2 linked regions of the Canis lupus familiaris genome follow. The protein of the gene in region 1 binds, or shares a complex with, the protein of each later gene. Links are inferred from orthologs where the notes say so. Each region holds a gene or a part of one and is shown on either strand. Other genes may lie near its edges.

Evidence for each region.
Region 2: the proteins of PLEKHM2 (region 1) and ARL8B are in contact, whole or in part, in a crystal structure (PDB 8JCA), measured with the Homo sapiens proteins. The link is inferred for Canis lupus familiaris from reciprocal best matches to the Homo sapiens genes PLEKHM2 and ARL8B. Residues at the interface, in NP_055979.2 of Homo sapiens: His70, Phe71, Thr72, Arg73, Arg74, Glu75, Glu103, Ser105, Glu107, Ser108, Tyr109, Arg111, Leu112, Glu115, Glu147, Phe148; in NP_060654.1 of Homo sapiens: Glu22, Thr52, Val53, Gly54, Phe55, Asn56, Met57, Lys68, Trp70, Arg77, Phe78, Arg84, Tyr85, Arg87, Gly88, Val89.

Annotation. Positions count from the first base shown.
Region 1 is NC_049223.1:81,354,722-81,358,231, forward strand, and holds part of PLEKHM2 (pleckstrin homology domain-containing family M member 2), read right to left. Parts: intron 2,930-3,510; coding exon 2,084-2,929; intron 1,849-2,083; coding exon 1,779-1,848; intron 1,676-1,778; coding exon 1,585-1,675; intron 1,273-1,584; coding exon 1,208-1,272; intron 852-1,207; coding exon 763-851; intron 143-762; coding exon 10-142; intron 1-9. UniProt on the Homo sapiens protein: Plays a role in lysosomes movement and localization at the cell periphery acting as an effector of ARL8B.
Region 2 is NC_049241.1:12,598,816-12,602,940, forward strand, and holds the start of ARL8B (ADP-ribosylation factor-like protein 8B), read right to left. Parts: upstream 2,806-4,125; 5' UTR 2,608-2,805; coding exon 2,485-2,607; intron 1-2,484. UniProt on the Homo sapiens protein: Small GTPase which cycles between active GTP-bound and inactive GDP-bound states.

The DNA of each region.
Region 1 (3,510 bases):
GGCACTTACCTCACACTTGGACTCCTGGGCCACAAATTTGGCCAGTGCCAGCTTCTCCATGGTGGCATCAGTCAGGATGCTGGGGTAAGGTGGTTCCCGGCAGCCTTTGATCATTGCGGACTTCAAAGAAGCCAAGAAGAACCTACACAGGGAGTGGGGTTTGCTGTCAGAGGCCCCGGGGGGGTGGCAGCGGGGAGGCCTGCCTCTCAACTGGACAGGATTCTGGCCTGGGGGCACAGAAACTTCAGGGAGGTTGCTGGCTGGAGCCAGAGCTCAGGGCAGCAGCTGGGGCAGTGATGCCCAGCGATCACTGGCCTCAAACGATGACCTGGAAAAGGCCATTCCCAGTGGCCAGGGGCCCGGGCGCTGCCGGCGAGGGAGGACCAACCCCGGTGGTGCAGCGGAACCGGAGTGGGTGGGACCCAAGTCAGTACAACGACACGATCTCATTACCAGTAATTTTTGTATGAAGGCATCGGGGGGGGGGGGGGCACCCATGGCCCCCGTGGCCCAGCAGCCGGACTCGTGTTCTTGCTGATAACTCACGTCAGCCCTCAGGCCAGTCCTCTCTGGAGGCCACACAGGGTCTGAGGTCACCTGAGCTGATGACGTGAGTCCGTCAGTGTGCTTGCACGCTTCCAGCAGGTGCCAGAGGGAACACACCTGATCTCCACTTCTCTGTTTCCTACCTTGCACCCTCCATCCCTAGGGGCGGGGGCTCCAGGCCAGGGGAGGTAGGGGGGGCAGGGGCATGTCACTCACTCGGCCAGGGCCACGTCGGCCGTGTCCAGCAGAAACTGCTTCCTGCGGTTGGTGCACACCAGCTTCACCGTCTGCTGGTCGAGGCCCACCTGCCGGAAACAACAGCTTCACATGCGCACGGGGCTCGGCTGCTGCGGAAGAGGCAGCCCGGCCAGGTGAGGGCTGCTGGGGAGGGAGGAAGCACGCCCTGGAGTGGCCGCAGGGAGAGCCCCCGAGAGCTGGGGAGGGATGGTCAGAAATATGGTGGATGAAGAGGCATCTCAGACTCGGTTCTTATCCCCCGCATCACCTGTAGAAGCTGCTCGAGAGATAAGCTGACGCCCTGACCCCGGGGGCGCTGGGGCCAAGGCAGGACACGCCTCCTCTGCAGCTACGGTGGGTGGCCGGGTGGGCGCCCGAGGGGCCCTGTCCTACAGCATATGGCAACTGCAGAGCCTGCACTCACCGACACATAGTCAAGTTCATTGTAAGAAACAGCCTCTTCCACCAGGTATGGCTTCTCCGCGGCCCCTGAGAGAGGAGACCCCGATGCCTATAACTCGCAGTGGCCTCTTTTCCCTCCCCCTGCCCCATGTCTAAGACCTGGCCTCTCTGAGAGAGGACCCGTCCCTGCCCTGCGATCTGACACGGTGGAGGAGGCGGAGGGCGCGGGGCTCGTGGCAGGCAGGCCCCGGCTCCCACGGGGCTGCCGGGACGGCCGGTGGCACCCGCTGGGGTGTTTCGGTCACCACCAGGCGGCCGAGAGCCAGGGTGGGGGGCGCAGAGAAAGGGAGGGAGTCAGTCTCATCCTCTGCCTCTGGCCGGGCCCGGGGCGGCAGGCACCTTTCCGAAGCAGGTAGACGTAGCAGTCTGTGAGCAGCACGTAGAGCAGCTGCAGGTTGCCCTCCATGTGCCCGGTACTCATCCGGATCATCTGCGGGGCCGACACGGAGCGGGGTCAGGCGCCCCGGCCCCCGCCGCCCCGGCCCGGCCAGCACGCCTCCCGCCTCGGCCGTCCGTGAGCTCCCGGGACTCACTTTGAAGAGCTGCTCTTCGTTTTCTCGGAACACGTGGATCATCAGCAGGAGTAAGTGATTGTTGTCCACTCTGAGAGAGGGACACGCGTGGGGAGGGTGTCAGGCTAGGCCAGGGGCGGGCGGCTCTGCCCCTGACCGCAGCCGCAGTGGCGGTGGCGGGGACACTCCCAGCCCACCCCGCCTCCCGGCCCAGGCCGGGGCGTCCACGGCTGCGCTCAGGGTATCTGGAGGGCAGATGCCCACCGTCGCGGGCCGCGGGGCGCCGGGGGCGAGTGTCAGGCCGGCCGCCCGGGGGGCCCCCTCACCTGAACTCTGCCGAGTGGGTCGTGTCCGACGGGCTCCCCTGCCCCTCATCCACCCCAGAGTCCTCAGCGCTGCTCACGCACGGGCTGGGCCGGTCTCGCTTGAGCTGGCAAAGAGCCTCGCGGGCCCCCGGCTCCGGTTCAGGCACAGGCCCCTCCCGGACCAGGGGCGACTCAGGGTCCAGTTCCCGGGGCTCTGGCCCCCCGGCCTCCCTCGGGGCGCGCTCTAGGGGCCCAGGCGTCTGTCCCTCTCTTCCTCCTCCTCCCTCTTCTTGGCCAGCAGTCTCAGGGCTACCAGGAACATGCAGCGGTTGGCCAGGCCCTGCAGGGTCATGGTTGCTGCCACCTGATGTAAGAGTGCTTGGACTCTCGACGGTAAAGCGGTAGAAGTCCATGGGGGCTGGAAGCCCCTCACTAAAGTCGCAACATGGTGGCTTCTCCGGGGCGTCCCCGGGAGAGCCGGCCCGAAAGGACTGGTCTGGGGACTGGGCGTGGGAGCGCCAGGTGCTGGGGTCCAGCTGCCCGTTGAGCTGGTCGATCACCTTGCTCAGGGGCTGCCCCAAGCGCTCCATGGACGTGTCCTTCATCTCGGGGATAAGCAGGCCCACCGGGCCGGGCTCCGAGAGCTCGCTGCTCTCGGCTGTGCTGCTGGGCCCCTCTCCCTCCTCCTGGGGGGGCGTAAAGGTGGCGTCCGGGGACGCCCGCCCCAGGCCTGGGCTGCTGACAAGGCTGTCACCATCCCCCCCGCGGCGGGCACAGCCGTCCTGGGTGGAGGAGGGGTGGAGGGGGCTAGCCTCCTCATCCGACCTCGCCTTCTTCTTCTTGCCGGTCTTCTTCTTCTTCGTGACCCTGGACAGGAGTGATGGGGCAGGCTTACCACCTGAGCGCCGCAGTACCGGGCAATTAGGTGGGCTGGGTCGAAAGGGGGGATCTGGGCATGTGACCTCTGAGGGCATAGCCAGGGCTTCAGAGGTCCTGGGTGGGAGGCCCCAGGCCAGGGGGCCGGAGCAGCTCAGGCCCTGAGGTACGCCCCCGTTGCTGGAGGCGGGGACCCGAGGAACCCCTGAGCACGTCCCACGAGTTCTAGCTGAGGACGCAGCTGTGCCAGCTGTGCTCTCGGGAGCAAACACAGGCCCTGGTCGGTCAGAACGATGGCACCTCCACTTGGCCCTCCCCTTGGGATGTGGCCAAGGGACCCTGAGCTGACCTCACTTCCCAGCAGGTTATCACCGGGGATGGCTCAACCAGAAGTGCACTCGAAGTCTTCTGGGCTCACACTTCTTTGGTTGCAGGGTGGCTGGAATGGGTCTGGCAAGGCGACCCCAGGTCGGAGCCACTTAAGCTGCTCAGGCCTTGAACTGACCCACAGAGCGGGACCCCTGACCCCCCCCTCGGGCCAGCAAGCCTCGGAGGGTACGACACGCACAGCA
Region 2 (4,125 bases), on another chromosome or scaffold:
AGTGTTCCAGAAGCTCTGCTGTTAAAATAATCTAATATATTTTTTAAATTGGGGCGGGGGGGGGGGGGAGAGTACATGATATGATTATTTGCCACAGTCCATAAATCCACTCTTGGAGCACACATTTGGATAAATCAGATTCAAAGAAGGAAATGAACCCAGCTAATTCCCTTCTGAATATTTTTCAAAACACTGTTTCTGCATTAAAGAAGCAATGTATTGGCTACAAATAACAACAGCTACCACTTACCCAGCCCCTTCTATGGGCAGGCTTGGTGCTAGTCACTTACTATGTGTCATTTCATTTACTTCCCAGAACAACTCTTTAAGAAACATATTATTATCTCTATTTAATAGATGAGAAATCAAGGAGGACTGAAAGAAGATACAAGGCTGCTGAGTGGAAGAGCCAGATTGCAAACCCAGAGTTCCTTGACTTCAAAGTTCTTGCTCATTATAATAAACTACACCATCTATGAAAAACATAATAAGGGGCGCCTGGGTGGTTCAGTGGTTGAGCCTCTGCCGGTGATCCCTGGGGCCTGGGATCGAGTCCTGCATCAGGCTCCCGGTGCATGGAGCCTGCTTCTCCCTCTGCCTGTGTCTCTGCCTCTCTCTCCTGCCTCTCATGGGTAAACAAATAAAATCTTAAAAAAAAAAAAAAAAAAAAGAACATAATAAGCATAATTTTCATGCTCAGGCCTTTAGAAGTTCTTCAAAGACTTACTAAACTTTTTCAAGTTTCCCAAGAATAACTACTCTGCAACAAATACAACAATTAATTGTAGTAATACACCTACATCTACACTATATATTAATTCAGTCTTGTAAAAAAAAAAAAATCAGGTTTACAAGGAGATTCCAATTCTTATCTCTCAAGAGAACACCAGAAAATTTACAGTTAACTAAGTCTTTCCCATATCCTATAAAAGCTCTAGTATGAATATTTAATCTACAGGGATTTTTCTTTAATTTTTATTTATTTATGATAGTCACACAGAGAGGGAGAGAGGCAGAGACACAGGCAGAGGGAGAAGCAGGCTCCATGCACCGGGAGCCCGACGTGGGATTCGATCCCGGGTCTCCAGGATCGCGCCCCGGGCCAAAGGCAGGCGCCAAACCGCTGCGCCACCCAGGGATCCCTCCACAGGGATTTCAAACTAATTTTGGTGCTATCATATACTTTCCACTCTACTATATATGTTGAAAAGTTAGTCATCCCAAGCCAAAACAAAACCCAAAACATCACCACCACCACCACATCACTAGAGGAGCCAAAGAGGAGCCAAACAAGTAGGCAAATTTTCTTTTATACTTATATGCAACGTTCCTCAAAGGAAGTCTGGATCTCTGCTCGTCTTTTTCTTCAAGTCTTACTCACTCCTGCTGCTCCACTACTGCAGGACTAAGAGTCACACGTTACATATTTTCTCCCACAAGGGAGCTGTGTTTGAATCATTCCTGTAACCAAACCAGTTGGGCCACTGGTCTATGAAATAAGGATTTCAACCACCATCTCTAAAAGATGGAAGAACTGCTGCCCTCTCTCTTTAAAACAGTTCCAAAGCTCATGCCTGACAAGTACGAGCACCTATCAGCTACAAGTGAGTCACATCAACTCCGGGCCTCTAAACTGAGATGGAAGAGCATCTTTCTCTCTTATTCCTTCCCCGCAACTAACCACCCAAGCAAAATTCAATCATCATCCTTCCACTCAACCGAGGCTGACTAAATAAGCACCACACTGCGTGCAATACAGGTTCCCAGGGCAAGCTCCCTCCTAGACACCCTTTCCCTGGAGAAGCAGAAGCCCCCCCCCCCCCCCTTAACTGCTTGGCTTAATAAATGCTGCGGACCACCGAGCACTGGACGGGCTGGAAGCGCCCCTCCCCAGTCCCTACCGGCGAGCCCAGGCAGCGCTGAACTTGCTCTCCGCCCCCAGGGGGACCACTGAAAACCAGTAAACTGCGTTACAGGGAGACATCCCGTCCGCGGTGCTCGGGAAGGCGCCCCGCGCCGGCCTGCTGCTCCCCGCACCACGGCGCTCCCCGTCCCGAGCGGCCACTTGAGAGACGCTCCGAGCCTCACGCTTTCTCACGGGGCTGACAGCTCGCCAAATCCCACCCTTCGGGGAAGTGCAGGCTGGAGCGAAGCCTTCAGGTGTCCCCCCACCCCCGCCCCGGAGCAAACCCGATGCGCAGACCCCCATCCCTACAGGCGCGACGAGGCCAACGTGTGCCCCTTCCAAGCCCCCGCCCGCGAGGAGGACCCGGCCGGCCCTTTGCAGAAGGCGGCGGCCGGGCGCGGCGCACCACAGCACGCGGGAACCCCGGCCCCCGGCCCCCGGCCCCAGCCCGCGGAGGGGGCAGGAACGGCTGACCTCCTCCCCTCGTCCCACTCCCATTAGCCCCGTCGCGCTGACGGCAGCCCCGGCCCGGGCCTTCGGGCCGGCGCCGGGCCGGACTCGCGGACGGCGGCACTCACCGCGATGACATTGACGAAGGTGGTCTTGCCCGAGTACTGCAGCCCCACCAGCGTCAGCTCCATCTCCTCCTTCCAGAAGAGCGAGCGAAACCAGTCCAGCAGGCGGGAGATGAGCGCCAGCATGATGGCGGCCGGGAGGGAGAACGCGCGGGCGGCCGGGCGGGCGGGCGGCGGCGGCGGCGGCGGCGGCGGCAGCGACGGCTTCCACTCGAGCGGGCCTCAGCCCCGACCCCTCAACGGCTCCTCGGGGCCGCGGCGCACCACTGGCGGACACGGGCGGGCGGCGGCGGCCGGAGCCAGGAAGCCGAGCGGGTCATATGACTCGCCCTGCCCCCCACGCTCGTCCCCGCGCCACCGGCGGCGCCCACGGCAAGAGCGACGTGGCCCGGGCGGCCGGGCGCGGCTGCCGCCTGCAGCGCCACCTGCTGGAGCCTCCGCGAAGCGCCGCGTACCGGGGAGCGGCCCTGGGAGCGGCCCCAGGGCTCCCCACCTGCGCTGCTGGCTGGCTCCTAACAGGGGTCAGCTCGCTCTTGCTGCAACCGTTTATGGACAGTCGGCTCTCCGCGGAAAGTCTTCAACGCGCGAGCCACTCGCCATGCAGCGAAGACCTCTTCCTACATTTTTGGTCGTCGCAAAAGATGGGAAGCCCTAAGTGTTGTATCAAGGGGGAACCGATTTAAAAAAACCCCGAGTGTGCGACCCAGCCATTGCACTGCTGGGGATTTACCCCAAAGATGCAGATGCAGGGAAACGGCAGGTCACCTGCACCCCGGTGTTTCTAGCAGCAATGTCCACAGTAGCCAAACTGTGGGAGGAGCCTAGGGGTCCATCGAAAGATGAGTGGATAAAGAAGATGTGGTCTATGTATACAGTGGAATATTACTCAGCCATGAGAAAGGATGAATACCCACCATTTGCTTCGACGTGGATGGAACTGGAGGGTATTATGCTGAGTGAAGCAAGTCAATCGGAGAAGGACAAACATTATATGGTCTCATTCATTTGGGGAATATAAAAATTAGTGAAAGGGAATAAAGGGAAAGGAGAGAAAATGAGTGAAAGTATCAGTGAGAGGGGGATCCCTGGGTGGCTCAGTGTTTTAGCACCTGCCTTTGGCCCAGGGCGCAATCCTGGAGACCCGGGATCGAGTCCCGCATCAGGCTCCCGGTGCATGGAGCCTGCTCCATCCTCCTGTGTCTCTGCCTCTCTCTCTCTCTTTCTATGTCTATCATAAATAAATAAATAAATAAATATTTAAAAAAGAAGAAAGAAAGAAAGAAAGAAAGAAAGAAAGAAAGAAAGAAAGAAAGAAAGAAAGAAAGAAAAAGGAAGGAAGGAAGGAAGGAAGGAAGGAAGAAAGAAAGAAAGAAAGAAAGAAAGAAAGAAAGAAAGAAAGAAAGAAAGAAAGAAAGAAAGAAAGAAAGAAAGAAAGAATCAGTGAGAAATACAGAACATGAGAGACTCCTAACTCTGGGAAATGAATAAGGGGTGGTGGAAGGGAGGTGGGCAGGCGGTTGGGGTGACTGGGTGATGGGCATTGAGGGGGGCACTTGGCAGGATGAGCACTGGGTGTTATGCTATATGTTGGCAAATTGAACTCCAATAAAAAATATACAAAAAAATTTAAATTGGGGATCCCTG